Linked DNA regions of Arabidopsis thaliana. The protein of the gene in region 1 interacts with the protein of each later gene in a pairwise test. Each region holds a gene or a part of one and is shown in the gene's direction. Other genes may lie near its edges. The genes, in order: PLPB, VTC2 and VTC5.

Region 1 (10,336 bases):
TTACCATAACACATGAACACACACGCACAAGCTTTTCTCAGCAGGACTTGCCAGGTTTGCAGCCAAGCGTACCAGCATCCTTGGTAAGTCTTCTGACCTTTGTTCCTGGCTGTGGCCGGATTGCAAACTTTCTAGGGATTGGATTTTTTGGGGTTGCGCTCCACGCGTTCGCCTTTCCTGATTGCACAAAGTAAGCTCCATTCAAGAAATAATCTTTCTCTGATTGCCAGTTCCATGATTTCCATTCAGGATAAGGTGTGTACTCTCTCTTTGTAACCTGCATTCCAAATTTCTCTCAATTATGTCTCTCAAGTGTAGCTGTAGTGATTTGTTGATTAGAGAAAGTTTTCGTAGTTTTTACCTGCTTGGAATCTTCAATAGGAGGAGCAATGAAACGATTGCCTTGACTTATAATGGTAGGGTTCATGTTTCCACCAATTGCATACATTTCCCAGTGAGTGTAGTCATTGTTCACAACATGGACCAAACCAAATCTGACTCTAGGCATTCTTTGCTTCAATCTCTTACCAAAATGGTTAAACGCAACTGTTATCTGCATTTTCTTGTCGATCACATCCTTGTTTGTACCCCCAAATAGCATCACCTGCATTAAGAGAGACCTTAGACCTCAATAGTTTCTGCATTCGAAGTTTGTATCCAGTGTGTATTGTTTGGACCACAGATACTTCTATGATTTATTTGTAGCCTTATTTACCTCGTCGTGGTCGGTAAAATGGGAATTGGAGATAGTAATTGCAGTCGATCCCATGATCGCATCAATCATCCCATCAGAACAATCCGTCATTGAGACATGATCGATCCAAACATTCGTTGCTCCAAAAATATTAATCCCATCGCCATCACTCACTGTCCGAAGCCCAAAATGTTGCTCGGAGTCTATAATCAACCCACCAGCTCCCCTTTTAATCTGTTTGATATGAATATTATGTATTATCACATTCCTGACGAACTGCAACGTTAAACCTGCACCCCCAGTGATATAAATTTTCGCTCCCCGACCGTCGATTGTTTTATCATTCGTTATGATCAGTTCTTGTTGCAGTTTTATGATCATGCTTCTCGCAAAGATGATCCAGAGTGGTCGGTCCCTTGTCACGGCGTGCCTTATAGTCCCTGGTTTTGGTTTTAGTAGATCGTTGTCGGATGGGTCAGTGACTACATAGATCGGTCCGTTTTTGCCTCCGGTTGTTTTCCGGCCAAATCCGAGGACACAATCTGCTAGTTTTTTCCTGTTTTTGTCCCAGTTTTTGTCGCCTCGCCAGCATTTATCGATCGCGTTTAGGGATTCAAACCTTCCTCCACGTCTAGTTGTTTTCTTACCGCGTCCGACCTGACGGAGATCCCTCCTTGTTTCGTTTACTATCCCTGTCGTCTCCATAGCTCTGAGAAAGAAAACAAGAAAACATTAGTTTCTTCCGGAAGAAGTTAGGTTTTGATAACAAATCAAAAACCCTAACTAGGTTAAATTTTAGAGAACCCACAAGGCGGCATGGTAGTTAAAGTGGTCCGTGACGTTCTCTGGGTTCGGGTCATAAGATTCCAAAGTTTCTCGCAATGCGTTGGTTTGACGCTGCGTCCAGTATTCATCATATTCGGCGATGTGGGCTTGAACCGATGGAACCACCACGGTGAGAGACAACGCGACAAAGACGAAAACGTAGCTCCCAAGATTCACCATTTGAATCAGCAGTGGTGAGAGATTTTTATTTTATATGTATCTTTTTCCGGTGATGAATTTATTAGAACCCTTGAAGTTTGGGTCGTCCAAAAAGTTTTCTGGTCGGCCCAGGGTTAGAAATAGATAATCGGATTCATGGCTTTCTTAAATAACAAGGAACTTGAAAGAGAGAGGGAAAATGAAAGACATTAATGGAGGATTTAACGATTAACAGAGTAATTATTAGGTTACCATTGATTTGTAAATATCTCTGTTACTTTTCCTGTAAACCAATTATAGTTTGTGTGGTTTTTTTTATTGTTCTTTCTTTGTTTGTCCTTCTTTTGTGGAATATATTCAGTTATTTTTGTCTTTAAACCTAAATATTACTCTTATTTGGGTTTTCTTGTTTATAATTTTTGATTAACTTAGGATTGATTACAAAATGAATTCAGTAACAAATCATTTCTTACTAAAAGCCAACAAAATTCAATCAAAAACTTCAAAGACCACTTGCACTTACAAAGAAATCATAAGATTACGGAATGATAATTTTTGTTGAAAATATAAACAGATAAACGTATGATTCCACCAAGTGTTGTTAGCTCAATTGGCGAAATTCGAGTGACGCTTGAGACGAAACTAATATTACATGCTGTGGTTTCAGACCTAGGGGATTACGGGCTTCAGTCCAAAACCTCCTGATATTTAAAAAAAAAAAAAAAAAACGTATGATTCCGTTTAAACAAATATCTAGTCAGTATTTCGTTTTACTGTTTTGAGATTTTTAACTTTTGAAACATAAATTAAAATTCTGATTAAAAGTTGATTTATAACGAGCAATTAAAGTGTTTCATTTTAGTATTTTATAAAAAATTCTTTCGAATCCTTCACCCTAAAATGTTATATAACGACCAACGACCAAATTTTTTGTTCGACTACCAAACGAACAAAAAATGTGTTGCGCGCAATAACTTTTGATGATCGCAATCGTTGGTATCAGTCTTTAGCAACTGCAAACATGAACATAGACTTCACATTTTAGGTATTTCACCATTTTCTATAGTAGTAGTGTAGCAATGTACTGTGAATTTTAATTTTGGTCTTACTCTTAGATGATAGATTTGAGTTGGCCGATATGAACATTGGCGACAATTTGTTATTTTCGTCTGCGAACCTGTTTTAAAAACAAAACAGCTTAATACAGCCCAATGGGCCTCCTTACTCGAATCAATAATAAGCGATGAGTGAATGACACATGTTAGCACCGGAGAGTAACGTACAAATGATAAATGCCACGTAAGCCAGGTTGCATCGATTTGATAACACAAACAAAGCCACACGACACAAGAGAAATAGATAAGTATGGACAGTCAGCTTTTGTCTTTTTCCAGCCTTTGTTTACGTGGAATCTCGGTTTCTAGGACCCACTACACTCCTTAAATAAGAGGTGCATAATTTTATATTTAACAAATACAATTAGCATTAGATTAGTCCAAATATCCGGAGTGATTTTTTTTGGTTTTTAGAATATTTATTTTTTTATTGTAAATTATAAAAAATGTTATATATAATTTTTTTATAGATAATTTTTTTAATTTTATTAGATTTATGATATACAATGTATTCTTTTTTTATGTTATAAATATTTTTAATAAAATTTGTTTTTAATAAAATTTTGGTGAACGATTATAATTATATTTTGTTGTAAATTTTTTATACATTTATTTTTATTAATCTGTAAATTTGTAATAAATTATAATATTTGAAATTCGAATTTTAAATTTTTTGGTATAAAATTATTAATAAACTTTTAATCAATTAATAGATCAAAAAAATTTATGTCCAAATTAATTAATTAAAATTTTTTTAACCTACACTATTGTTTAATGTTATCACAAATTATAAATTTTTAAATTAATTATTTTGTTTGGTCGGCAAATTAAGATATTATTATCAAAAACATTTTTTTTTTTTTCGCAACACATTAGTTACTAAATGAACTATTAAGTTCACTTATCTTATCCAATTTGTGTCTACCCTACATAAACCTTGTACTTATCCCTAAATCACTTTAGATAAATTGTTGAAAATTTAATTTATAAATTTTGTATTTACCAAATTAGGAAAACAAATATCTGAAAATATTTATTTTTAATATCTTAACAACTCGAAGAACTGAGAAACGCGACAAAACCAATCGTCCTCTTCCGATAGCCACAAAACAAAAATCAGACAAGAAGAAAGAAGAACGTTTCTTCTAACAGATAGAGATTACAATCAAATTGACTCTTAATTTCTCAATTCCGTATCTCTCATTTCATCTTCTTCTTCTTCTCCTTTACTTAAGGATCTCTGGTTTCTCTTTCTCTCCTCTGTCTTATCTTCTCCAAAGTTACGCTTTTTTTCAATGAAAACATTTTCTTGATTCCTGATTTCAAATTTCACAATCTGGATTTCGTGTTTCGAATTCACTTTGAAGAAAAAGTTTCTCAATTTCGCCTGAAAACCCACATGGGATTGGAACTAAACACTAGACTGACAAGAAGAAGAAGAGTAATCATCATCGAGTGTTTATTACGATTATGTCCTTAACGAAATCTTCAGAATCAGTTTTCACTGAAGAAGAAGAAGAAGATTCCTTTAGCGGTCGATACACGTTATGGATCAAAGAAGCATTAGAGGAGCTTCCACACAATTTCACAATCACCGACCCGTTTATTTCGGGTCACCCGATTGTTTTCGCGAGCTTAGGGTTTTTGAAAATGACTGGCTATTCACGAGAAGAAGTGATCGGAAGAAACGGTAAAGTTTTTCAAGGACCTAAGACTAATCGAAGATCGATCATGGAGATTCGTGAAGCGATTCGTGAAGAGAGATCAGTGCAAGTGAGCTTGTTGAATTATCGTAAATCTGGGTCTCCGTTTTGGATGTTGTTTCATATGTGTCCTGTTTTTGGGAAAGATGATGGTAAAGTCACCAATTTTGTGGCGGTTCAGGTCCCGATTTCGGGACGAGAACATCATCGGAAGAAGTTGAGAAATGTCGGAGATTTGTCGTCGGATACTTCTCCGACATTTGGTTCTTGTCGAAGAGAGGTTTGTTTTGGTAATTTCGTGTGTCAGGATCGAGCTTTACCAGTGGAATGTGATGATGATGAACAAGGTTTGGTTTTTAAAGTTATGCGTTTTACTTGTTTGATGAAATTCCTCAGAGAGCGTTTGAATCAGTCAGAATCTTATCCTATAGCTTAATGAACGTTCTAAGTATTGATTTAAGCATTGTTGTATTGCAGGATTAGAGGATTGGGAACAGTGTGAAGCGAGTGAGTCCGAGAAGCTGAAAGCTACGGAAGCTATTAACAATGTGTTATCTATCTTAGTGCATTACAGCGAGTTGAGTGGTAGATTAGTCTGCGGAAAGCGGTACTGCTTGCGAGGAGTAGATTGTCTAAGCTCGTCGTTAGTTATTTCTCTCGGTAGAATCAAACAAAGTTTCGTATTGTGAGTACATTATTTTTTTATTGTGTTATGGAGTTACAGTCTGCTACAATAGATTTTGATATTGACATTGTTCTCGTAACTTTGCAGAACCAATCCATGCTTACCAGACATGCCTATCATTTATGCGAGTGATGCCTTTTTGACACTGACCGGTAAGTGTGTCTAGGTTTGAAGAAATAAAGTTACCGTTATTAGATTTTGGTCACAGTTCTTATTTATATCAATGTTTGTAGGTTACAAGAGACAGGAAGTGTTGGGACAAAACTGTAGATTTCTGAGTGGGGTTGATACTGATTCCTCAGTACTATACGAGGTAGAGATTGCGTTTTAACTTGTTAATTAGTATATGGCATGATTGATAATTGTGAATGTTTTATTTGGTTCAGATGAAGGAATGCATCTTAAAGGGACAATCATGCACAGTGCAAATACTAAATTACAGGTTGAAGATTTACTTCTTCAAAACATTTTTGCGATCGAATCTTGTTTCTTTGATTTGTTTTGGGCTGATCATATATGTTTTTTATCAGTAACAGAAAAGATAAGAGCTCATTTTGGAATCTTCTTCACATCTCACCAGTTCGTAATGCTTCAGGCAAGGTACATATCCCTTCATGACTACATACTTCCTGTTACCAAATCCTTTTGTCTTTCATTTTTTGGCCTTGATACAAAACCCGAATATGACATGTAGAACTGAAAGTAATTAGTACAGTTACTGATTTCTGCTTTTTTTAGACAGCATATTTTGTGGGTGTTCAAGTAGAAGCAAGTTGTAGAAATACTGAAATTAAAGAGCTGAGACCAGAGACGAGACAACTGAGTGTTGTCGGTGCGGTTAGAGTTGCGGTTAGAAGCTCATTGATGGTGACATGCTAATATACGCCAGAAAGAAAATGCGTCGACTTAGAGAAGAGTCTAAAGTGAATTGGACATACATCTTTACTATATGTATAATCATTTGACATACTACATTAATATAAGTCTTTATTTTACCGAGTATGTGCACTCAAGAGAACGTGAATCGAGTTAGAAATAGGTCATTTATTGAATGCGGATAAGTATCAAGAGGTAAGAACTAGTTAGTTTCATCAAGTTAATATGATTAGATGAGTATATTATTAAGTGTTCCGAATGTCGAAAATCCAAATGATCTCGGTTTCACTTTACAGATTCCGTATTTTTCACCTTCAGGAGAATGCAACATCGTTTATAGAATGTAAGAAACAAGGTTGGTATCGGCAAACAAGAAAAAAATATTACAATCGAAAATGTTCTGCTCGTGATTCGACAAACAGAAGACATCTCCAATCTGTATTCCAAAAACACGAAGATTTATAGGTGGAAAATGCAACATAGAAAAGTAGAAGACATTTCCAATCTGTATTCCAAAACTGTTGGATACGGACACCGGATATTGCACTTATGGCAAATTGGGCGAGAAGCAGAATTGTTGCGTTGAAAAAGAATCTCACCGCCACACAATGGGAAAGTTAGACCCGGCTTCAAATATGGATCTGGGCCAAGTAAGCAATTAATATGAAGTGTGGTACAACACTCGTTGCACTTATAGAACCCTTTTTCTCCTCCAACGACTAAGCTTCCTTCGCATAATTCACACCAATCTGAGCCACTTGCCTCGTCTCCACGACAAAACGTGAGGTAATGCTCATCATGCTTGTACCTTACCGTGTATGGTAGGGTAGCACACTTAAAACATATGATAAAATCACATTCAATGCAATTTACTACCTTTTGAACTCCTGTTGACTTGCAAATGTGGCATACTGTCGTTTCTTTGGGTCTAAAGCCAGAAATAAAGGGTGTGGATGGACTTGATAATTAAATGGCTCAGAAGCCGAAGCACACACTGCATCTAGCTCGTAGTCACAACCATTGATGGTACACACATATCCAAAACCACTACTCTTACGCATACAAGCAGCACATTCGAATTCATGGTTTTCATGGACAACCTTTTGTTCAATTGGATGTGGATGTAATGGATGAACCTTCTTCCGGGGGGCATCCGCACATTTTTCATGTAGAATAAAGTCACATTTCACACAGACATAAAAGTTTTCCTCGTTGATTGGAAGGACACAAGCTTGACAAAACTCGTTTTCTTTGTAAACTCCATTGGTTTCAAATTTCATATGACAACCATGAGAAAAGTGAAGTATGATTCCATCAGCTATCCTGTAGAACGGAAGCTCAACATCTTTGTCTTCTGGTACTCCTTCGAGTTCAATGCCATCCCATATATCCTTACGCAATGCACATCTTGTGTGAACAGCGTAGTCCTTACACACATTGCAACTGTATGCCCCATAATCACTGTCAATCTCTCGGCGACAAATTCCACAACACCATTTTCCTGATGGAAGAGAAGAAGTGAAAGACACACCGTGGAAATGACGAGAGATTCTTATAGTTTGTGGGTTATGGATACAGTCTATATGGGCTACAAAATCGCATATAGAACGACAGACGTAAGTGAGATGAAGTTTATCTACCAAACCGCAAACATTGCATGTTAAGGAAGCTTGTCTAGGAAAAAGGGTGAGGGTATGGTCATGCTTTTTTGGTTGGTCTATGAGAAAAGGGATTTTTGCCTGAGCACAAAGGACATGCATATAAATGTCGCAAAGAGCACAATAATAAAGCAAAACTTCTGCTTTCTTTGTGCTCAAGATGCAATGCTCAAATGTTTTTACATTATAAAGTTGGAGAGAATGTTTGACGTGGGAAGGATAATTGATCTCTAGTGGAGACTCAACACATTCTTTGTGGTACCTTTGATCACACTCGACACAGAAATAATAGCATGTGCCGACCTTTCGGGTATTGCAAATACTGCAATCGTTTTTTGGATCAGCTTCTTTATTGTTACACCAAAAGAGAGGGAGTATGTCATGACCATACATCATATTGTCACCAAGGAGATGGGAAATCCTTAGCTTGCCATCAACATCAGGCGTTGGGCCCCCATCATCTAATAGTTTAGCTTCGATCGTTATTGTTAGTTTGAATCGTAATGAAGGGCATATAAATAGAGGTGGAGGAGGGAGGTTGTCGCCGGAATCAATGGCAACTTTAGTCATGTTTTGGATTGGTAATGGGTTTTGAATGAGGTGTTTTTCATCGGAGGAATTTGGGCTGTGTATTTGTGGCTTTATAACGTTTTGGTATATGAGACATGGTTTCCCATCGATTTCTCCTTTTTGAAATTCTCCGACCACGTCCATGTCTGCTTAGATCGGAGACTATTTTTAAGAGGTTTTTGGGATATTGCTATCGTTCTTGCCTTTACATATCTATAGACACATACATACTGAAACGTGATGTCCTCCCATTTGCAATTTGTTTAATATTTCTTTCATAATGATATAATTTAGTCGTGAGTTTTTGATGAGTGAACATGTCATATAATTCAAGTGGCACATAAACTATGGGCTATATGCTATTTTCACAGTATTATTACAATAACATGATGATATATATTAATGCATCTTATGTACGATAACATAATGAGATATATTAATGCATCTTCTGTAAGAAAGTCATTGTTTAAACTTATACAGCTAAAGCTGGTTGATAAAAACAACAAATACAGCTAAGCTGAAACTTTCTATTTTAAAAAGGCAAAATACAGCTATAATATTAATTTAGTCTGTTTTATAAAGTCTTTATTATTGTATTATTTATCTCAACGATTTTTTTGTATATCTACTAATAATTGAGAAATTTAAATTTTCATGCCATTGGTTTTAAGACCATTTTCCTATTTTATCTAAAAGGTATAAAAGCTTTATTGTTTTTGGAGTATTAATTTAGCAGAATATTTTCGGATTTTAACAAAAACCGGAAAATTAACTTAATCTTTCTAATCCGTAAATGTGATTTTTTTTTCTTAAATATCAGGAAGTTCTAAACCGAAATCTATAATTCTCTCAAGGCCGAAACCACAACATGTAATAATAATTTCGTCCCAAGTGTCACTCGAACCGGCGACTTCTAAACTTCACGTAGGATCTTTACCAATTGAGCTAATGACACTTGGTAAAGTATTAAATTTTTAATTATTATATTTAGAAGATTTTGTTAAGATTTAAATTTATACCCTAAACCCTAAACACTAAACTATAAACCATATCATTTAAAACTATACTCTAAAACCAAAATAGTTAATCCAAACCTTAATGTTTTGTGTCTATGATACTCTGATAAATCCAAAAGTTTTGATAGTAGTTTTGATATATTAAATTAATAGTGAAGTCGAAGTAGAAGCTGCAATCTAGGTGATGAAGTGTATGATTGGCCGATAATCAAGGTGTAGCATTTTTTTACGAACTGTTCAAATCTGGTGAATATGGTGTCTTCTCCAAAAGAATTGTCGGCGTTCTCAGCTTATTTGGAAAACTACAGAGCGACAAGAAAGAATTAACTAATTTTTCTTTATCTTTAATTTCTTGTAATGTAAATATAAAAGCGCATAATTTGGCGCGAAAAGTTCGCACTGAAACGCTTCATATCACTTATATAAACAACATTTCTCAAATTTGCCTCGTTTTGTGCTCTAATTAAAATCGCGATGACAAAAAAAACTAATATATAGTGATATTTTTGATAATAACCTTATAAATGTGATATTTTAAGAAAAACAATTTAATACTTCAAAATATTAATAAACAATGGAAAGTACACAGGTTGGAATATTTTGACTTCTAACATAATATTGAAGGCACATGGACCATTGAAGTTGAATTGGGAATCCAAATTTTTTGTTGGAATATTTAAAAATAATAAAAATTGTTGGAAGATAAAATAAAGAGAAAACCAAAAATACATATTGAAAACAGTGATCAGGTAATTTCTGCAAATAGTAAATCTGCAAAAAAAAGAAGTAAATCCAAATCTGAGATGAATAAGATAGAGAGAGGCTATCTAACCTTGAAATTGAGTATCTCCTACAAACATTAACATCACGTGATTGACGACAATCTAATTAGCAGAGGGATATAATTAGACTGAATTTTGAAAAATCTCAAACATTTTATTTGGCTGTAACAAGAGAGGAGTGTACTTAGAGTTTTTTTCTTTTTTTTGTCATCCGAAAATTAATTAGGACTCAAAAAAGACAATTCTGAAGAAT
Region 2 (11,099 bases), on another chromosome or scaffold:
TGATGCTAATGGAGCTTCTCCTTCACTTTGTTTGATTGATATACAGCTTCCGGAAGATATAGAGTGGCATTTCGTGGGGCATTTACAGAGCAACAAAGCCAAAACGCTATTGAGTCTGACTTTTATCCCCATCTTTAATATTGAATTAGGGGTTTAGTGAAAGTGAAAGTCGTTTAATCCAATGTTTGCAGCTGGAGTCCCAAATTTGGCAATGGTTCATGGTGTGGATGGAGAAAAGGTATTATAACTAGCGATTAGAGGTTGTTGTGGCGTTTAACTTGCACAATTCACTTTACTAGGAGGTTATTTTGGTTATACAATCACTTGGGATTGATTTCACAGGTAGCAAATCATCTAGATCGAGCTGTTTCAAATCTTGGGAGACATCCACTAAAGGTTTTGGTCCAAGTGAACACAAGCGGAGAAGTTTGTGAGTATTTTACCTCTATGCTGATTTCCTTGTCCAGCCTCTTCAGTTGGCTGACTGATTGATTATGGATGCAGCTAAATCTGGAATCGAACCTTCTAGCGTTGTAGAGCTAGCAAGACATGTGAAACATCACTGTCCAAATCTGGTATTCTCCGGATTAATGACTATTGGGATGCCTGATTATACGTCTACCCCAGAGAACTTCAGGGTATTCTACTACTTGATTGGATACTTGTTTTACGTGTTCTCGGGTTATTCCTACAAGTTTTACTTACCAAGGTTTATTCTTTTCCCCATAAACCGGGACAGACACTTTCAAACTGTAGAGCTGATGTATGCAAGGCACTTGGAATGGCTGAGGATCAATTTGAACTGTCCATGGGCATGTCTGGTGACTTCGAGCTAGCGGTAATATCTTTGTCTCTCTTCTAATATCGAAAATGCAATCAACTCAATATCGAAAATCATTTGAATGTGTTCTTTCTTTCATCCGAGGAACCACATATATGTGGAAGATGATCTTTGACTATGTTTCTGCAGATTGAGATGGGAAGCACCAATGTGAGGGTTGGTTCCACCATTTTCGGACCAAGAGAGTACCCCAAGAAAACAACTTAGCTACTATGCTCAAACACTTGTTGTAAAATTCATGTATAATGTTATTTTGTCGATTATTTTAAACAATTTTATTCTTCATTGATAAACTTAGGTGTATTCACAAAGTTACTTTATAGAAAATTAGAAATCAATACATTGTTAAGGGCTTTGTAACTGAGTTGAATATTTGTAACAGCAGATATCGCATTTTGATACTTGTCCTCTCGAAATTGATGTTTACTGACGCACGATTATTGGGAATTTGGGACTTAGTGGTGTACCAATAGCATCTCAGCTTTCATGGTTACAAAGAGGCCAGTGAAAGAGGCTTGGTCAACCGCAATTATGATCCGTTACTTGCACTGACTACCACCGATCCACCGCCGTAACTCTTTAAATCTTAATGCAATACTAATTCGAATTACATGTCGAGGTCTTAAAACATGATAAATGGTTGTTTAAAGTAAAAAAAGAAAAGAAACAATAAATAAAACAAACGGTGATGGAAGGAGGGACGTACGATCGTAGTCGTAGAGACTGCCAAATAAATAATGGACCACTATTATGTGGTTCAAGAACTATATCCTTTTCTTAGATTCCGAATCTTAACTTGTGTTTCTTGCCTTGTTTGGTTTTTTTTTTGTTTATTTTGTAGTTTTGTCTCATAAAATAACGAACAAAAAGCAATGGTCTAAATATTTCTCAATATATGTATTTAAAAATTATATCATAGTTTCGCAAAAAAACGACCGAACGAACGATGGTAGTCATTTGCCCAAATTGAGCCTCGTAGTAGTTGCTACGACCACACCCCCGTCCCATGAATAAACACGACCATGTAAATATTATCTATAAAGACAACATAAATTTACAAATTAATGTTGAACAGAAAAAGTCAAAAAGAAAATTTCGTTAATATAATAATAATATTCTATGATAATATAAAACGTGGCATAACACATGACTTCACATGACATCATAAGAAGACATATGCCACATGAACTCTTCATCGCCTCCATCCTTTTAGTCTCGTTTACATGCAGCAAACTACGATCTACGATTATATACAATGAAATTCAAATTCATAATCAATTGGCATTAAACATACGTATATCATAATTCATAAGGTTAACTAGGTTTAGCAAATGTTATTCTCTTTGGATAAACGTTTAGCAATTGTTTATCTCAAATTTAATTGAAAATACTTGTAAGACACAGTTACAATTAGTTCTCAATTTCCAATCTACACAAGATTTAAATCTTTCTTTAGTTCATTCTGATCTATTTTTCTCTCAAAGAAAATGTAGTGCTCCAACTTTTCTCCCAAGACTAATAAAAATTTTCTTAATTGCATGCAAAAATATTTTTTCCAACTTTAATCTTATCAAACTTAGATCTCATTTTATCTTCCGAATAAGATTTTTGTTTTGGTCCTTTGCCTAATCAAACTAACTAATTAGATTAGAAGAAAAATACAATTAGACAAAATAATATCGATGAAAAAATAAAATCCACAAGAAAGGACCTAAGAAATTTCACGTCCGAATCACAACCACAGAAAAAAAGAGAGAAATATTAGTATATAATTAAAATTTTGTCGTCTGTCTTCTCTGGTTCACTCATCTCCTATCTATTTAAAGCCCATTCGATATCCTAAAACACTGTATCATCAAAAAACACCTCAAAGAATTATTCATTCAGGCATCTTCTCAAATTTTTGTTTGTGAAAAAAACCCACATCAAAAGATCTCTCATTTATTCGTTTCGTTTCTGCTGTTTTGAGTGTCGGGTTCGTTTTAGCTGTAATCTTTTTTTCCGGCGTTCGATTTGAAAAAATCCGGGGAACAGGTGATCGGAATCACGGCTATACACGGGATATCACGGGGTGTTAGCTCACATGTCCATATTGTCCGACAGAAGGGTTGTTTAATCGAAACTAATCCTTTGCCGCACGGAGGACGTGGAGCTCTGCCGTCTGAAGGCGGCAGCCCTTCCGATCTCCTCTTTCTCGCCGGTGGCGGTTCCAGCTTTAACTTCTTTTCCTTTAGGTTTTAGGAGTTAGGGTTTGTTAGTGTTTTTTCCTTCTTCTTTTTTTGGTGCTCTTGAATCGCTTTTTTCTTGGGGGAAGTTTTTTCTTTTGCTCTTCGAAATTTGTCTTTTTTGAGAATGTTGAAAATCAAAAGAGTTCCGACCGTTGTTTCGAACTACCAGAAGGACGATGGAGCGGAGGATCCCGTCGGCTGTGGACGGAATTGCCTCGGCGCTTGTTGCCTTAACGGTACGTTTTGGAAACCTGAATCGTCTTTTTTAATCATGTTTAAATTTTATCACTTTTTTTTTATTCACCTTATGATGTGTTTGTTCAGGGGCTAGGCTTCCATTGTATGCATGTAAGAATCTGGTAAAATCCGGAGAGAAGCTTGTAATCAGTCATGAGGCTATAGAGCCTCCTGTAGCTTTTCTCGAGTCCCTTGTTCTCGGAGAGGTAAATCATAGACCACTGATTTTGATATTCTGATAATGGTTTCTGTAGCTTGGAAGAGTCTAATCAGTATTCTTATGTTTAGTGGGAGGATAGGTTCCAAAGAGGACTTTTTCGCTATGATGTCACTGCCTGCGAAACCAAAGTAATTGTCTTTCTTACCTTGTTTGACAATCTAGTTATGTTGGGTTGTTTGTTGCTGAGGAATCCGAGATATGTTTTACATTGTTCTTAAGATTGTTTCTCTTGATGTTATAGGTTATCCCGGGGAAGTATGGTTTCGTTGCTCAGCTTAACGAGGGTCGTCACTTGAAGAAGAGGCCAACTGAGTTCCGTGTAGATAAGGTGTTGCAGTCTTTTGATGGCAGCAAATTCAACTTCACTAAAGTTGGCCAAGAAGAGTTGCTCTTCCAGTTTGAAGCTGGTGAAGATGCCCAAGTTCAGTTCTTCCCTTGCATGCCTATTGACCCTGAGAATTCTCCCAGTGTTGTTGCCATCAATGTAAAGACTCTTGTGCAGAGAGCTTGGTTTTTTCTTTCTTCCTTTTATTGGTTTCGCTAGCAAAAGATTAATTCTTTATTGTTGTTTTTAACAGGTTAGTCCGATAGAGTATGGCCATGTGCTGCTGATTCCTCGTGTTCTTGACTGCTTGCCTCAAAGGATCGATCACAAAAGCCTTTTGCTTGCAGTTCACATGGCTGCTGAGGCTGCTAATCCATACTTCAGACTCGGTTACAACAGCTTGGGTGCTTTTGCCACTATCAATCATCTCCACTTTCAGGTATATCCAAAAGTGATCCAAGCATAACCTTTTCACCCTTGCTCATCTAAGATGTTTGTTCTGATTGTTTTGGTGGTGATTGTTTTTGGAAACAGGCTTATTACTTGGCCATGCCTTTCCCACTGGAGAAAGCTCCTACCAAGAAGATAACTACCACTGTTAGTGGTGTCAAAATCTCAGAGCTTCTAAGTTACCCTGTGAGAAGTCTTCTCTTTGAAGGTGGAAGCTCTATGCAAGAACTATCTGATACTGTTTCAGACTGCTGTGTTTGCCTTCAAAACAACAACATTCCTTTCAACATTCTCATCTCTGATTGTGGAAGGCAGATCTTCTTAATGCCACAGGTATATAACTACACCGTTGGATGAATACATGTTTTGAATTACTTAATCAAAAGTGAATAACAGTTTGAATGTAAAAATTGCAGTGTTACGCAGAGAAACAGGCTCTAGGTGAAGTGAGCCCGGAGGTATTGGAAACACAAGTGAACCCAGCCGTGTGGGAGATAAGTGGTCACATGGTACTGAAGAGGAAAGAGGATTACGAAGGTGCTTCAGAGGATAACGCGTGGAGGCTCCTTGCGGAAGCTTCTCTGTCGGAGGAAAGGTTTAAGGAGGTTACTGCTCTCGCCTTTGAAGCCATAGGTTGTAGTAACCAAGAGGAGGATCTTGAAGGAACCATAGTTCATCAGCAAAACTCTAGTGGCAATGTTAACCAGAAAAGCAACAGAACCCATGGAGGTCCGATCACAAATGGGACGGCCGCCGAGTGCCTTGTCCTTCAGTGAACAATATGGTGACTTGGTGGTTTGTATGTATAATTAAAAGCCTAAATAAGCAAACTCTCTTTGTAGTTGCATTTGAAGCTTCTTGGTTTATGTATGATGGTTGTGGGCATTTTGTGCCTAGACTTCTGGTTCTTTGTTTTTTGTTATGAGTTGGTGTTTATGAATTATATATGTTCTTCACTAATATGATTATTATTTGTATAGATTTGATTATTCAAAGGATATGTCTTAAGAAGGGGTTCAGGTTCAGCCAACTAATTACTTGTAACCAAGTCTTTCTACCATCAACAACCATGTTAAGATTCAGACACTTAGTTTTTACAGCTCGAGACTCGAGAGAGAGTAATAATACTGATTATTGTCTTGTCTATAACCACCACAAGCTCTGGTTATGAAGTCGTCCTCTATAGACTATAATTCACTAACTCGATGCTAGTTCATGTTTAAGTAATATTTTGTTTAGTTGACTAGATGGATTTTATCTTTGCTCGCCATTAGCTCAATGAGCTACGTATATGTTAAGAGTCACACTTTCAATAATTAATAGCTTTTTACCGTTACCATACCAACAAACTTTAGATAATTGGGTTAATAACACCTTTAAGCCGAAATAGTAGTATCATAGGATCCGATACCAAACGAACAAGACAAAAAATCAACCAAAGGGTTCTTTAACCTTCGTGACCATAATAACTTAGTTTCTAAAGAGAATGGTCACGATAAAAAAACAAGTCTGCAAATCCTAATGCCGATTACTCCTTAACCATTCATATCACACACAAGCCCTAAACCTGGACGAAGTGTCAGGCCGTAGCACCACCACCGCTGCCACCAGTCTGATGGAGCATCGCATCGATCTCATCACCATCCTCCATGTCAAGCTGTAGTGTCAAGAATTATTAGTATCAGAAACTATAAACTTCAAAAGGTAAGAAATAAAGCATGTAGAATGAATGTTATACCTCATCGGGAGTTTGCTCAGCACGAAGACGACGCCCATCAAACAAGAAAGCAATGGAGTTCATGTCCACAGATTGCCGGTCACAGTAAGCATTCATCAGCTTCTTGAGCTGAGTGCTTCTCTTGATCCTAAAGAAAACCTCGTTTCCATCCTATAAAACAAACATATAGAAGGAACAATAAACGTTAGAGACCGCATATGAAACAATAACTAAATCACATGGCTCTCTTTTGGTAGTAACCTGAAAGAGTCGAAAAATTAAACACATATCAACAAACATTCAGTTTAAGGCTTCGTCTATGAGAATTTGAAGCACAAACATCAGCCAAACTAATTGAAAACTTAGTACAGAGACTACAACTTCATCAGAAGATATATAACAACTTAGTACAGAGACAGCATCGTTCACAGTCTTTAGAACATTCAACAACTAAGTAAACTTATCCCTTCCAAAACTATAAAACCCTCAAACAACAACAGGAACCAAAAGCTCAATAACAACTTACACCTAAACAAGACTTATATAATTTCAGAAATTTGATAAACAATTAGCAAAAACAAGCAAACGTGTAAACATAAAGCAGGATACTTTAAACCTGTAAAACAAAAGAGGAAGAAGACCATTAAGACTGAGCTAGTAGTACGAAACCCTAAAATTAAACCAAATTGGAGAATGAAAAACCCTAATCGCAGCTACACGAAATCAGAAACCCAAACATTCACAAGAACACACAAGGATGAGAAGGAGAAAGAGAGATACCTGTCCCTTGACTTTGAGATTGATGTGAGCTCCTCCGTCTCCTGGCTTCTTGTCTTCCTCCTGGTTTGCAGACATCGTGAAAGGTTCTCCGTCCGGTTACAAAAACACGAAATTTGAGAGAACGATGAGAGATTCACACAATCAAAGAATGATGCTGAGAGATGAATATAAAAAGACTGACTCTGAAAATCTCTCTAATTGGCCGTGGCTTTTGTACTTGGACGCATCGGATTCCTCTCTATCATAAATCGTAGGGCATCTATCCAACGGTTCATATTCTCTCTAGGTTCTCTTTTAATCCAACGGCTGCTAGTTATGTTCAAATCTGTCGTTTCGTTATAATGGGCTTATATTTTTATTGGGCCACATCTAACCCACTAGACAATTTCATTTGGTTAAATATTTTAGGTTGCAGTTCCTGATCTCACGTGACGTGAGTCCTCCTATCCACCACTCTCCATGATTTCATCATCTGTTGAAGACTTGACAATTTGACATAGAAGAAATAAATAAATTGTTAAATCTATAAATCATGTCACTTTGTGTATTAACAAAAAGATTAGTTGAAGGAGATAAAGTCTGTCACACACTCTTCACAAAAGAAAGAAATGATGATGAATTAACGAAATATGCGCAATGCAACATATAAAGAACCTAGGTCTTGACTCTTGTTTAAGAAACAATAAAAGTCAAGGTTTTTGTTAGGTTTCTGTTATAACCAAAATCAACTATGAAAACATTCATATGTTAGAAAAACATCAAAATTATAGAGAGTTCCTTTAACTGAAGATTATGGTAAAGTAAAACTTTTTGCTATAAATAGAGCTTTAAAATTATACAGTTTTAGTTAAATCTATTATTTCAGCTATTCTTCCGTGTTATTAGTTATCCCACAACCCCCACTTGGCACTTGTTTACACCTAAATCGTATAAATACTGTAGACCAGCTCCGTCCCAAACGCAACAAAAACTTTCCTTCGTCTCCATAACTATCAAACGACACTCATCTATGCGTTTAATGCTCTGTTTCTGAAGATACACTCGAGAATAACCATGGCCGTTTCTTTCTTACCTTATTTTCTGATTCTTTCCTTCCTCTCAGCCATTGACGCACGTTAGTTTTTAATCTCTTCATATACCTATGTCTGTCTCTGTATTTGCCGTGTCTACTACGTTGTTCTTATTTTGCGTTTTTTTTGTTTTTGTTTCCACAGATTCTGGAATGGTCGGAGTCAATTATGGTCGGATAGCTAACAATCTCCCGTCGCCGGAGAAAGTAGTGAACCTCCTGAAATCTCAAGGAATCAACCGTATCAAAATCTTCGACACCGATAAGAATGTACTAACCGCACTTGCAAATTCCAAAATCAAAGTAATCGTCGCTCTCCCTAACGAGCTTCTCTCCTCCGCCGCCTCCCACCAATCATTCGCCGACAACTGGATTAAAACCCACATAATGCCATACTTCCCAGCGACGGAGATCGAAGCTATCGCCGTCGGTAACGAAGTATTCGTCGATCCGACGATCACGCCGTATCTTGTCAATGCGATGAAGAACATTCACACCTCTCTGGTTAAGTATAAACTCGACAAAGCCATCAAGATCTCGTCTCCTATTGCTCTTAGCGCGCTTGCTAATTCGTACCCGCCTTCCTCTGGTTCTTTTAAACCGGAATTAATCGAACCGGTTGTTAAACCAATGCTTGCTCTGCTTCAACAAACGTCGTCGTATCTTATGGTAAATGCTTATCCGTTTTTCGCTTACGCAGCAAACGCCGATAAAATCTCTTTAGACTACGCTCTGTTTAAAGAAAACGCCGGGAATATAGATTCCGGTACCGGATTGAAGTACAACAGTCTCTTTGACGCTCAAATAGACGCCGTTTACGCGGCATTGTCCGCCGTCGGATTTAAAGGCGTTAAGGTGATGGTGACGGAAACAGGGTGGCCTTCCGTTGGAGATGAGAATGAGATTGGTGCAAGCGAATCTAACGCGGCGGCGTATAACGCCGGACTTGTGAAGAGAGTGTTAACGGGTAAAGGAACACCGTTAAGACCGACGGAGCCACTTAACGTCTATTTATTCGCTTTATTCAACGAAAACCAGAAACCGGGGCCAACGTCTGAGAGAAACTACGGTTTGTTTTACCCAAACGAAGGGAAAGTGTACAACGTTCCGTTCACTAAAAAGTCAACGACGCCGGTCAACGGTAACAGAGGTAAAGTTCCGGTGACGCACGAGGGACATACATGGTGCGTTTCGAACGGAGAGGTAGCGAAGGAGAAACTTCAGGAGGCTCTTGATTACGCTTGCGGAGAAGGAGGAGCTGATTGCCGCCCGATTCAGCCAGGTGCCACGTGTTATCATCCTGAGTCGTTAGAAGCTCACGCTTCGTACGCCTTCAATAGTTACTACCAGAAGAACTCACGTCGTGTTGGTACGTGCTTCTTTGGTGGAGCTGCTCACGTCGTCACGCAACCTCCTCGTACGTTAATCTAATCTCTCCTCTGTTTTTATCATAACATTACATATTTTGCTTTAGTTCAATTCAGAAGTGTATATTTAGCTGTTATTTATGCTTAAAAATTCATTTGGTATGTTTATTGAAAAAAAGAAAAAGATAGTGGCAAATGGTTTAGTAGTTGGCGGTTGTGAAAGTTGAGCTATATTGGGTCATTTTGGCCTTTTAAGATGTTCACGTTTCTGTAAGATCGATATATATGGTGACCTTTAATATTTTTATATAATTCTAACAAAATTATTTTTTCGTTGATTGCAGGATATGGAAAATGCGAGTTTCCCACCGGACATTGAGGCGGAATAGTTGGCAGCAATTTTCTGTGTTTTTTTTTTTGCCTGATTTATTAAGTACATTGTTTGCTAATCGGGAATATATATATATTTTATATTGTGTATAAAATATATTAACTTTGTTGAACTATTTTATATATTTTAATTTAAAATTATATCATCACTAGATTATTCTCAAAATCTTGCATGAATGCTGAAGTTTGACATAATAAACAAAATGAATTTTATGTTGCAAAAATAGTATATTTTATTCTAGTATATTATTATTAGAATTTCAGGGTATATATATTAGAAGGAATAAAATCTTGTATAGTGGATAAAATGATTCTATAGAAACTAAAAGATTCATCTAGTTGAGATTATAGAAATCAATGATTTTATTAATCATTTTATCTATTATATATACAATCAGAAAAAATGATAAAGATTTTAATTATTAATATCTTTAATTTTTATAATCTCTACTAGATAAATCTTTTTCTCTAATTGTTTTGAGATATCATCATATAAACAAGTAAACATTATCAGCACTTGTATAAATCCCAATATGGATGATGAACAAAACCTGGTTGAAGAAATGAATCAACAGCTTCTGATAACCGTCATTGATACCGAAAAAGTCCCGGAACTCCGACCAATATCATCACGGAGCCACCAAGAATCCGAACCAGCTAATATCTCACACTGGTCACTACTTTTCAAACTCTTTCTAGCCATCACGATCATGGGTGCTTGTGTAGCAGGTGTGACGTTTGTCATATTGATTACGCCAACTCCCCCCACAGTACACGTACAATCAATGCATATATCGTTCGCCAACCACAATCTCCCGGTCTGGTCCGCAACGTTCTCTATCAAAAACCCTAACGAGAAACTCCATGTCACGTACGAGAATCCTTCAGTGTGGCTGGTTCACCGGGGAAAGCTCGTGTCGACCGCAAGAGCTGATTCGTTCTGGCAGAAAGGCGGAGAGAAGAACGAGGTTATTGTCAAGAGAAACGAAACAAAAGTTATCGATGAAGAGGCGGCTTGGGAAATGGAGGATGAAGTGGCGGTGACAGGAGGTGTGGTGGGTCTTGATATGGTGTTTTCTGGGAGAGTAGGGTTTTATCCAGGAACTTCTGCTTTATGGGGAGAACAGTACATGTCAGCCGTTTGTGAGAATGTAAGTGCCAAGTTGTATAATGTTGATGACGAGATCTATGGGACAAATAGATCGGTTTTGTCATTCGATGGTCGACTAGTATGCAGTGTACGTCTCCCTAAATATCCTTAGGTCTTAGATATTTAACAATGGTCAATTAGAGTTTGTTTTTGCAATTTGTTAGGGATGTGTGATGTTAGATGACTTACGGCTGGTCAATGATGTTTAATTATGTATGTTTTTTTGTTGATGACAATATTAGTGATATGCTTAATTTGATGACAATCGATGACCTTTAGAAATTAGGCTTGATACATTCATATCCACAAGAGCAGAGAAAACAGT
Region 3 (11,031 bases), on another chromosome or scaffold:
TCTCTCTGTGATCTCGAACGGTAATTCCTCTTTGATCGTCTTTCACTGTTACCATCATCCGCTAGTTTTGACTCAGCTACATATGGAATCGAGCTACTGTCTCTTTCTTTGGCAGCCTTAGCACCTAATCCAGAAATCCCAGAGTCCAACGGTTCGACTGATATGCTTCGCGACGGTTCAGCTTGTTGAACTGGCTGCGCATCAGGTTTTAACTTGGCCACAAACATTTTTGCACGTTTCAATCTTTCTGCCTTCAACTTCTGCTCTTTAGACAAGCCTGCTTCAGAAGAATCAGCTTCACTAGCAGCAGTCGAGCCAGAGAGTGATTGACCTGTAGATTTGGCCAAATCAGGGGACTTAGATGAAGGGTAACTCACATCATTTCCAAGGGTCTGAGAAGTCTCATCCATGGGTTTGCCTGTTAGAATCCCCAACTGGGGATTCCTTATGCCTCTTCTAGCCGCTTGAAGAATAGCAGCAGCAGTATTCGCATCCACATTGACCCTCATCTGCGGTTGGACAGGCTTGAATGGTTCATTGTGCAACTCGACCTTTGGTTTGTCACTAACCATTTTTAGTTTCTCTTTCTTGGCAGAATCATCTGGTAAAACACTCCCAAACCCGTGTTTGCTATCTTTTACAGCATTGCCCATCTTCTCTTGCTTCACGTCTTCTTTTCTGATAATAACGCCTTTGTCACCTGATTTTAACTGCATATGAAATCAACCAACGTTTTACATTTTAGTGAAAGTTACAATCACAAGGTTTAAAAAGCACGTGAAAACACACCAAATTTGTAGCAGGAACATTTTAAGAACTTGAAACAGAATTACCTCTTCGGCTTCTTGGAGAACCTTCCGATAATATGCATGGTATAAGCTAGATGGACGTAAGAATGGAAACATCCCGTATTTCACATCCTGTGCAACAAGAGTAGCCTCTAGTTCTTTCCCGTTCTTTTGAATGAAGTCTACTATCTTATCAATCACTCTTTTCATCTCAGTAGTCGGCTCCACAATCTGCAGTTCAAGCTTGGGTTGCGACTTATCAGACGTCACAAGTTTTTCTGTATTGATCTGCTTCTTCTCTACAACATTTACTGCGCTGACAGAGGGATTTCTTTTTATGAAAGATGCATGATCATTCAACGGCAGAGAATGCTTAGAGGCAATCTTTGCAGCTCCTTTCGACCCTTCAGGTCCATTGGAATCAGTTACCTTAACACCATCATCACCTTTGGCGGACTCACTTGTTTTGGAGTCGTTTGCAGACTCTTCGTTAGCATCTTCATCTTCTACAGTCCCATAAACCGAACCAAGCAATGACAAAGCTCCACCATCCTTCTCACTTTCGTTCTTTTTCTCTTCTACAGAAGACTTTCCTGTCAAAAGCTCTTGATGGTCAACAAGAAACCTAAAGTAAAGGTGAAGATGATGGTCTGGCATTAGGAACCCAAATGTAGGGTTGTCTCCTTGTTTGACTCTCAAGACAATTTCAGATTGCCCACCGTGTTTGCTTACAAAACTTGAAGTCCTAGTGATAATCTGATGTAATTTCTCAGTTGGAGGCTGAAAGAAGAGAGAAAAAAAATATACAAGAAAAAATTAGTAATGTGAAATATGATGAATGACACCTTTGGCAACTCGCAGGTATATATACATAATAAAACCTCACATAAGTATCGAGAACCATAAATTGCAAAATTCAGAACTGTATAGAAATGCATCATCTGGTGTGCAATCAGTTTTAAGGTTCTTGGTAAGTCATGAATTTTTATCATCTTAATCCCACCTGCACTGCCCCTTGTCATGGCAGCAAAAGGAAACAAGGTGCATGTGAATGACAACCTTAGACAACTCCATCTCTTCTCCGAGCATCTGAAACTTAGACATAGTAGTCCTTAGAATAACAAATGCACCTTTCAGATGTTTACGTGGCCAATATCAGTTTAAGTACCAAATAAGTTAGCAAAAACTAGCATACTGCTAAAGGGAACAATCTAAAGCAATAACTTACCAGGTTTTGACGTAAGTAATCAGGCACGGGGAAAGGCGGGTGAAATCCAGATTCCATATCAGCAGCATTTTTCTGGTCATTGACATCACTAGAGCTTCCATATGAAAAAGAGACAGCACGATAACCATCCGCATTTGTATTTGCTGAATCCTCATTCATATCTGGAGAGTAAAGCAAATCCAAAGGGCAAACAAATTAAGTTTCGATCTGAATTTTTCGTAATCATTCTCTAGAACAGTTTTATGTCTCTAACATAGCTAGTTCGAGTCTCTCTACCATATAGATTAACGGAGATTTCTACGGAGTTCATCATCCTTACCGTGTTCATCATCATCCGACGGAGATGGAGATTCCGACGGTAAATCTAGATAACGCTCGTGATCGAGCTCCGATTCCAAGTCAGCATCGTTTGAATTCGGACGACGGCGTTTGATACGTGGAGGAGGAGGAGAAGAGAGGAGATGACGAACATCGTAGCGGTCAATAAAGAGGCTGTTCCAGTCAACGAGCGCCGTCGGAGAGTTGACAAACGTTGCCATCGAATCATCGTCGAAAAAGAGAGCGTGACGACCAACAATCTCTAGATCCATTGTGTGATTCTTCTAAAGCAATGGAGAATTGGGATTTGGGGAAGAGGCTAGGGTCTGTGTAATCCGTAATTTGGAACCGGATGTTCCAAATTCGTGATTGACCCAAAGATGTGATGACTTACAAAAGAGATCAAGTCGACTAAATGACGTCGTTTATAAGACTTTTTTACTTGCCGTTTGAAAAGTAATAAAACCACACGCATTTGGGAGAAAATAACTAACAACGACGTGCATTCTTTATGTTTTTGCGTTTTCAACCCTGCTTAAGAAAGTTTATATTTTTTCCCCATAACCTTAACTTTAATAAATGTAAGCCACCCTAAGAGTGAAAAAGCAGTGAAATCTCCAAATTTAAAGTGCTTCAACATTTGTGATTTCATTGGAGAATTTTGCTCAATCTAGTATCTGCCTCGTCTTGATGTGACGGTTATCCACATTGAGTTTTTACTTTGATGAAAATATTATGAGCTCTCTTTCTTTCTTTTTTAGGTAACTTATGAACCCTCTTTCTTTGTCAGGGCTTTCAAGCTATCTCCTCATGATACAATGGTTAAGTGATTTAATATTCTCTCTATATAATTTTTGTAATTTTATGCATCTATCTAACCATGTTTGAACAACCTGTATGGCACATTGTTTTCAAAAGTTTCGAAAGCAATTACTCTGTAGAAATAATACTAATTAAACTAACGTTATCTAATTAAACTAACGTTAATGTAAAACGACTTTGCGTGTGGCTTAATAGTTAATGCAACAGAAAGATATCGTAGAGAAACAATAAGATTATCGTATAGGTCGGAAAATGACCAATAAGCAACAAGGGAATGGTTTTGACTTTTTTGACGTAAAGTTTATACATTGTTTAACAAATTGGAGGAAAGCGTTGACCTCTCTCTATTGCTTTCTTCAACACCGTATATAATATTTGTGCCTTGTGGACGTCTTTGACTGGTTTATTCAAGAATTTTCTTCGATAGTTCGATCGTTGGTGTATAGAGCTATATTAGTGTAAGCTACTATAGGGACATTCAAATTTTATATAACTGTTTCAAAAACTAAATATAGATTGTACACATTTATGCAAAAACATACATTTAACAAAGCAAGTTGTATTAGTTTAATTAATGGTCATCATCGTACTAATGGACATCATAATTCGGATTCCATTACACATATTTATATCAGGAATCACGGGTTTGTTTGTAACTTAAAATAAAGTGGAAAGATCTATATACCTTGTATTTTCATTTGTAATGTGAGATATTCATTGTCTCGGACATATCACTACAAAACGGACTATATACATTGGCGGACGCAAGTGTATAAGTACTGGGGCACGTGCCCCATGCAAGATTTGATAATTTTGAAGTTTGTTGTGCAATTTGTATTGTAGATGAAAGAATTCGTTTGTTGTGCCCCATGTTAGAGTGACTTTTTTTCTAGTCAGTTGGTTATTACTCATTAATTTTACTATTTTCAAGTAATAAATGTTTTCAGTATTTAACTTATTTTTACTTTATTTATCTTTTTCTATAACTGTTTGAAGGAATTATGCTAATATAAGGTACTGCCAATGTTGATTGACACTTCAAAAAATTTTCTTCCATTTACATGTCTTTTAAGAAATGTTCATATTGTACTTTATTTTAAAAATTTATAAATATGTTGTGCCTCGGGTTAATTATGGTTCTAGATCCGCCACTGACTATATATGTATACTATGAGAAATCATATGTCGGGTAATTATACTTGGAACTATGGTACCATATTAGAAGATTAGAGATAGAATGAAAAAAAGAGTTGAATTACTCCATGGAAAAGACTAAAGAGAACGGAGTTGTACATCATTTATGTAAGAGATTGTCTGATATGAACAGAAGACTAGTGACGATGGAAGGAACTTAGCCTTACAAAGCTTGCTCATGTGTTTCTAAAGTAAAAACTTTTATTTATTGACTTATATAGATTATTTTCATATTATTCTATTGTTACAAGTTACAATGTAAAAATGGCCTTTCATATATTAAATTATATAATCGTGGTTGATTGGGCGTATGCGGATCGAGAACTTTAGAATTCAAGTTAAAGCAAGTGTCCATTAGAGGCAGGATGTATATAGCTTCAATTTGCTTTATTTAGAAATATATAAATTAGTGGTTCGTGGTTTTCACGACAAATAAAATCAATAAGTAATTTTCTTTTAATCAAAATCACGCCTTTGCGTCTCCTTGCATCTCGCCTGAATCATCTCAGACCGTCCCATGAGGCAAAGCGATGGATTCCGTCATGGTTTGTCACGCATATGCAGTTTTTATTTTAGTTTATATTTTTTTGGTAAAAAGTTAAATTTATATCATTTTTGAAATTTACATACAGAGAACATAAAAAAAAAAACCACCAAAAACTACAATACAACACAAACAAGAAAAACATAAACGAAAACTCGATTAGCGGAGATCCATGAAAAAACACCGATTCTGAACCGTAAAGTTCAGCCATTTGCATGGTTTCCTTTGGTCGAAAGAGTTAGAATCCTCATCTTTATTTTCTATTTTTGTTATATGTTGTCATTATAATTTGAAGTTTTTTTAAAAAAACCGATATATATAGAACACTCTGATTAACATGGTATCAATAAAAAAATAACATGAAAGTTAGCATTGGTAAGTGCTAACCTATAATAATGAATTCAAATGATCACCACATGTAAAATCAACCATATTCCAAAGATAGTTCTCTCACACCTGGTAACATATTACAAATGCATTACTACATTATTAGTACGAGAGGCTGTCTAAAATTAATATGTTTTGATTACGTATATCACACATAATTTATTTTTACTCTTATGTTGTGAACGCGTAAGCGAATAAGCATGTGCATGTACATGCACAAAATTAATTACTGAAATGAGAAGGAAAAAAGAACACCTCTCCCCAAGAAAAGATCGATCGCTTGAAACCTTACTTAACCTTTTTCACCACATTTCACGCGTCAACTCGTCTCGATCACAACTATAAACCCTAAGTCCACCCTCTCCTCAATTCTTCACAGCTCAATCTCTCTCTCTCTCTCCCAAATTCTCTTCCTAGCTCTCTACATTCACATAATTTAAACAAGAAGAAGAAGAAGAAGGAGACAAAGAAAGGAAGAAGAACAATATATCTCGCTGTAACTCACTAACACATTCATAGATCAAGAGAAAATGGCCCATTTCATGAAGCTACTCGTGACAATTGCATTAACAACCGTGGTCACAATCGCCATCGTCACCACCAAAACCACCACCAAGACCGCAACATTTGCTCTCGAAGACCCTTTCAAGGACCTTACACCACCAGGAACGATCAAGATCAGACCAAGTCGGTTCTTGGCAGAAAAAGTCGACAAGGGTAAAGAACCAAAAGCCCGTAACCCAAACGCAGCTGACCATTGCAACAAGGACAATGAAATCTGTAGCAGCAGCGATTACAGCACAGGAGCAAACGCTACAATGGCTTGTTGCAACAACAAGTGTATGGATTTATCAACCGACGACAAAAACTGCGGTTTATGTAAGAACAAATGCAAGTTCGGGCAAACGTGTTGTCGTGGTCAGTGCGTTTACGTGGCCTACGATAAACGCCATTGCGGTGAGTGTAACCATCGTTGCGATCTCGGCGAGTTCTGCGTCTACGGTCTCTGTAACTACGCGTGATGAATCAATCATTCATTCACGCCAACGTAAAAAAAAAAAAAAAAAAAAAATTTAACTAAAATTATACGGATGATTTATTTACATGGACGCTGATTAAAAAAGGTCGGTCCAATTAATTATTTACTTAATAATTAATTAAAGTGTTGTGTGTATTTTTGGATTCCCATAATGTTTTGAGGGGTATATAAAGGAGATTATTTTTTCTATTTTCAATGTCTACGAATAAAATGGAACATCCTCGTTCCAATATATACTGCTGTTTTATTACTAAGGTTTATAATTGGAGTGTATAAAAACACTCCAAAATAATATCATGAATAATGTTTTTATACGTATAATACATAAAATAAAATCTCTTTCCTCATAGCTGGTCCTCTGATTACTATCAAACATATGATTCAATTGCAAATTTGCAATTATTAATGCAAGAAGAATGAGTGGAACATTAAAGTTAGATCAAAAACTCTTCATTACAAACATAAATAAATTCATTTTGGTGCTTTCTAAATTAATTTATTGATCATTTTTTGGTATGTAGCTAGGGGTTAACTCATCAGGAAGAACATTACCTAGATGATGTCATTGTCAAAGTCAATAGGTTGACTTATCCGATGGATACTAATCCAACGGGTCAAAAAGTGCCAAATCGGGTCAAAATCAAAAACCTCAAAGATGACCCGTGAACACTTGTTTTTATCTTCCTCACAAAATCCACACGTCCAAATCACAACCTCAAAATCTCACACATCAAACACGTGAATTTGCTCTCTTTCTGGTTCACTCACCTACCATTACTATAAGTCTGAAAGAGTGATTGAAACCCACCTCGAAAAATCTATCCTTTTTTTTGTTTTCCTTCTCCGGCGAATCCCCGGGGAGATTGGTAATCGGTAATCACGGCTATTTACGGGATAAAGCCACGGCCTTTGAGCTTTCATGTCCAACGAAAGGGTTGTTTAATCATAACTAATCCTTTGCCTCACGGAGGACGTGGAGCTCTGCCGTCTGAAGGCGGCAGTCCCTCCGATCTCCTCTTCCTCGCCGGAGGCGGTTCCACAAATAGCCACTAACCCTAACCCTTTTTCTAATTAGGTTTTTAGTTCTTAGAGTCCTGTATTAATCTGTTATTTCGAGATTATAATATTTGTGAGCAATGTTGTTGAAGATCAAAAGAGTTCCAACAGTTGTATCGAATTATCAAAAAGATGAGACAGTTGAAGAAGGTGGATGTGGTCGGAATTGTCTGAGCAAGTGTTGCATCAATGGTACATTTTATAGAGCTGGCAAAGTTCTTCTTTTTGTTTGAATTTGAATTTTGCTGACATTTTGTTTGTGTTTTCAGGGGCAAGACTTCCTTTATATACCTGCAAGAATCTTGATAAATCCGTCGGAGAGAACACAGAATCTCCGGTGACGTTCCTCGAATCCTTAGTTATTGGAGAGGTAGTGGTTTTGGATACATGTTAAAAAGTTCTCACTTCGTTAACCAATTCGTTAATTGTTTGAGTAATGTATCAAATGCCTTATGTTTTCTAGTGGGAAGATCGTTTCCAAAGAGGTCTTTTTCGCTATGATGTCACCGCCTGCGAAACCAAGGTATTATTGTCTCTTTGATTTTTGGTTAATTGATTTACTTTTAGAGCCAAATGTGTTTGATGTTTACTTGACCTGAAGCATCAAGTTTCAGCTCACATTGTTGATGACTTGATGTTTACTTGGAGCTTAAGAATCATGTTTTAGTTTCACATTGTTGATGTTTACTTGAGCTGAAGAATCAAGTTTCAGTTTCACATTGTTGATGTTTGCCTAAGCTAAAGCATCTAGTTTTAGTTTCACATTTACTTGAGCTGAAGAATCAAGTTTCTGTTTCACATTGTTGATGTTTGCCTAAGCTAAAGAATCTAGTTTCAGGTTCACATTGTTGATATTTACTTGAGCTGAAGAATCAATTTTCTGTTTCACATTGTTGATGTTTGGTTGTTGGTGTGCATTGGTAATAATAGGTTATACCGGGGAAGTACGGTTTCATTGCGCAGCTGAATGAAGGTCGGCATCTCAAGAAGAGACCAACCGAGTTCCGTGTTGACAAAGTTCTTCAACCATTTGATGGAAACAAATTCAATTTCACTAAAGTTGGTCAAGAAGAGTTGCTTTTCCAGTTTAAAGCTAGCACTAATGATGATGATAGTGAAATTCAGTTCTTGGCGAGTATGCCTCTAGACGCTGATAATTCTCCTAGCGTCGTTGCAATCAATGTAAGGAGTTGTTGCTTTTAGGAGTCTATTTTCCTTTGCTGATTATCTGAGAACTGAACTCAGAATTCTTTTAACGCAGGTGAGTCCGATTGAGTATGGGCATGTGTTGCTGATTCCTCGTGTTCTTGATTGCTTACCTCAAAGGATTGATCACAAAAGCCTTTTGCTTGCTCTTCAAATGGCGGCTGAAGCCGATAATCCGTATTTCCGACTTGGATACAACAGTCTAGGCGCTTTCGCTACCATTAACCATCTTCACTTTCAGGTAAACAGAATCAAATAGTTCGAAATTTGTTTATAACCAATCGGTTTTAATTTGTTATGAATTCTCGAAATCGAATAAAGCAACATGAACTGAACCAAATAACTGAATGCTCTCACCTTTATACTATTGTGATATTTATGGAGATTCTACTTGGAACAGGCTTACTATTTGGCAATGCAATTCCCGATAGAGAAAGCTTCTTCCTTGAAGATCACTACCACCAATAATGGCGTCAAAATCTCTAAACTCTTGAATTACCCTGTGAGAGGTCTTCTAGTTGAAGGTGGAAACACCATTAAAGATCTCGCAGATACTGTATCAGACGCATCCGTTTGTCTTCAGAACAACAACATTCCTTTCAACATTCTCATCTCTGACTCTGGCAAACGAATCTTCCTTCTCCCTCAGGTTAAATCTCACAACATTATAAACGAAACTTGATATTGACTGTCAAAAGAAGAGCTTTCTAATTAACCATTGTTTGATTTGCAGTGTTACGCAGAGAAACAGGCTTTAGGAGAAGTTAGCTCAACGCTATTGGATACGCAAGTGAATCCAGCGGTTTGGGAGATGAGTGGACACATGGTGTTGAAGAGGAAAGAAGACTATGAAGGAGCGTCAGAAGAGAAGGCATGGAGGTTACTAGCTGAAGTTTCTTTATCAGAGGAGAGATTCAGAGAAGTTAACACTATGATATTTGATGCCATCGGTTTTAGTAGTCACGAAGAAGAAGAAGAAGAGGAGCTTGAAGAGCAGAATTCGATGAATGGTGGCAGCTTCACAATAGTGCATTGTCCTTCAGTGAAAGAAGAGGCTGTCTCTAATTGAGGCGCTTTATAACTAAAAGCAAAAACATAACTGTCGTCGTGATTTTGCATAACTTGTGTTTGACATTTTACTGTTTTGTAGTTTTTTTCTTTTCTTCTTGGCTTTGTTACGTCTTTGTTCGAACCTTTTGAATCAATAAAATCGAAATCGCCTAATTCAAAAAATTAGTTACTCTAGTCTTAAAGATGGACAAAGAGAAGAAACAGAAGAAAAGAAAAAAAAACAAATTTCATAAAAATCCTGTATTAGATTTATTTGCATATTTGGGAACCCTCTTTATGCAAACCCTCTAGACGAAGAAGAAGCTTTTGTAACATTTGTTTTTTCTTTGGCCCTTCTCCTTTAGTCAGATCGACATTCTTCTCAGCTGCCATCACCGGAGTTCTGAGACTTGGATACTTCAACAATTTCCATATCTCTCAAGCTTTTAGCTTTTCTCGCGTAAACGCTTCTTCATCTCCATCTCTCACTCTCTCATTTATATTTATTTGTCTGTCGTCTTCATTTCACTGATCTGTTGAACTTTTGCATTTCATTCTTTTGATGTTTTGGATTCCAGAAGTGTTTTTATTTTGTCTCTGCTTGTCCCTTTCGATGACAAAGAGAACCTAATTGGGTTTTGTTGGGTTTAAAGCCGTTGAGGTTTTGCATCTGTTTTATTAAATAAGGAAATGCATGGAAGGTGTTCGATAAAATGCCAATTACAATCAGCAGTTTACTACTATGGGCATTTTAATCCAAATTCATTCATTTTTTTGTGTGTTTAGCTACAAGGTAGAAATATCGCATCCTCGTTAAGCCAATTGTGTAATGTCGATCATGACAGTGAGTGATACAAAGTTTGCATTTTGGTAATCTTTTACATATGGACATTGCTTGGTTTATGAATCTTTGAGAAGCCTCAACAATGTTCATATATTTACTCTGTTCGTTTGGAGATTCATTGAATGCTTTAAAGGCTAGATGGATCTAAGCAAAACTGAAGAAGGAATGGTTCTGTTTTGTTTGTTTGTAGAGTTGTTGGACAATGAAGAAAGGATTGCACCCACAAATGCAATGGATCTCTTATGTGACACAGAGCGGTAGATTGATGCACGTGATGATGACAAGAATCCACCATGTTGGCAAAGTTTATCACTTTGGAGCTAAGCGTCAAATGGCTCAAAGCATTGGTCAGATTGCCAAGTTCAAGCGTAGGTTTAACGAGCAAGAGGCAGAAGCTGCCGAGGAGAACAACAACGAGAACCAGAACAAGTAGCTGTAAACCAACTCTTTTGTCTCTCCCTTACCTTTCCTCAGAAACCAATCTGAAAAAGCTTTAGACTTATCATTTACTATGAACCTTGCTTTGCTTCTCAAGATTGATTTTTACAGTTTTTG

The links.
Region 2: the proteins of PLPB (region 1) and VTC2 interact in a two-hybrid assay, tested with the Arabidopsis thaliana proteins (2 studies listed by BioGRID).
Region 3: the proteins of PLPB (region 1) and VTC5 interact in a two-hybrid assay, tested with the Arabidopsis thaliana proteins (2 studies listed by BioGRID).

The regions. Positions count from the first base shown.
Region 1 is NC_003071.7:754,536-764,871, reverse strand, and holds PLPB (PAS/LOV protein B), read left to right. Parts: upstream 1-3,807; 5' UTR 3,808-4,263; coding exon 4,264-4,843; intron 4,844-4,973; coding exon 4,974-5,181; intron 5,182-5,268; coding exon 5,269-5,333; intron 5,334-5,414; coding exon 5,415-5,494; coding exon of another isoform or gene 5,495-5,512; exon of another isoform or gene 5,513-5,567; coding exon 5,568-5,623; intron 5,624-5,711; coding exon 5,712-5,781; coding exon of another isoform or gene 5,782-5,799; exon of another isoform or gene 5,800-5,919; coding exon 5,920-6,060; 3' UTR 6,061-6,179; downstream 6,180-10,336. Other genes in the region: AT2G02720 (Pectate lyase family protein), read right to left, coding at 38-277, 362-604, 716-1,403, 1,503-1,699; AT2G02700 (Cysteine/Histidine-rich C1 domain family protein), read right to left, coding at 6,930-8,429.
Region 2 is NC_003075.7:13,493,240-13,504,338, reverse strand, and holds VTC2 (GDP-L-galactose phosphorylase 1), read left to right. Parts: upstream 1-2,637; 5' UTR 2,638-3,193; coding exon 3,194-3,305; intron 3,306-3,393; coding exon 3,394-3,512; intron 3,513-3,594; coding exon 3,595-3,654; intron 3,655-3,767; coding exon 3,768-4,010; intron 4,011-4,104; coding exon 4,105-4,290; intron 4,291-4,385; coding exon 4,386-4,634; intron 4,635-4,717; coding exon 4,718-5,077; 3' UTR 5,078-5,383; downstream 5,384-11,099. Other genes in the region: AT4G26860 (Putative pyridoxal phosphate-dependent enzyme, YBL036C type), read left to right, coding at 47-113, 192-238, 343-430, 505-638, 710-838, 971-1,048; SUMO1 (small ubiquitin-like modifier 1), read right to left, coding at 5,881-5,958, 6,040-6,189, 6,799-6,873; AT4G26830 (O-Glycosyl hydrolases family 17 protein), read left to right, coding at 7,940-9,284, 9,579-9,613; AT4G26820 (GrpE-like protein), read left to right, coding at 10,158-10,886. UniProt on the Arabidopsis thaliana protein: Catalyzes a reaction of the Smirnoff-Wheeler pathway, the major route to ascorbate biosynthesis in plants. Acts as a phosphorylase rather than as a transferase. Uses preferentially GDP-L-galactose and GDP-D-glucose as substrates.
Region 3 is NC_003076.8:22,362,059-22,373,089, forward strand, and holds VTC5 (GDP-L-galactose phosphorylase VITAMIN C DEFECTIVE 5 (VTC5)), read left to right. Parts: upstream 1-6,948; 5' UTR 6,949-7,456; coding exon 7,457-7,568; intron 7,569-7,645; coding exon 7,646-7,746; intron 7,747-7,839; coding exon 7,840-7,899; intron 7,900-8,306; coding exon 8,307-8,558; intron 8,559-8,637; coding exon 8,638-8,823; intron 8,824-8,982; coding exon 8,983-9,231; intron 9,232-9,315; coding exon 9,316-9,651; 3' UTR 9,652-9,809; downstream 9,810-11,031. Other genes in the region: AT5G55100 (SWAP (Suppressor-of-White-APricot)/surp domain-containing protein), read right to left, coding at 1-710, 834-1,568, 2,017-2,177, 2,336-2,606; AT5G55110 (Stigma-specific Stig1 family protein), read left to right, coding at 5,812-6,303; AT5G55125 (Ribosomal protein L31), read left to right, coding at 10,679-10,909. UniProt on the Arabidopsis thaliana protein: Catalyzes a reaction of the Smirnoff-Wheeler pathway, the major route to ascorbate biosynthesis in plants. Acts as a phosphorylase rather than as a transferase. Uses preferentially GDP-L-galactose and GDP-D-glucose as substrates.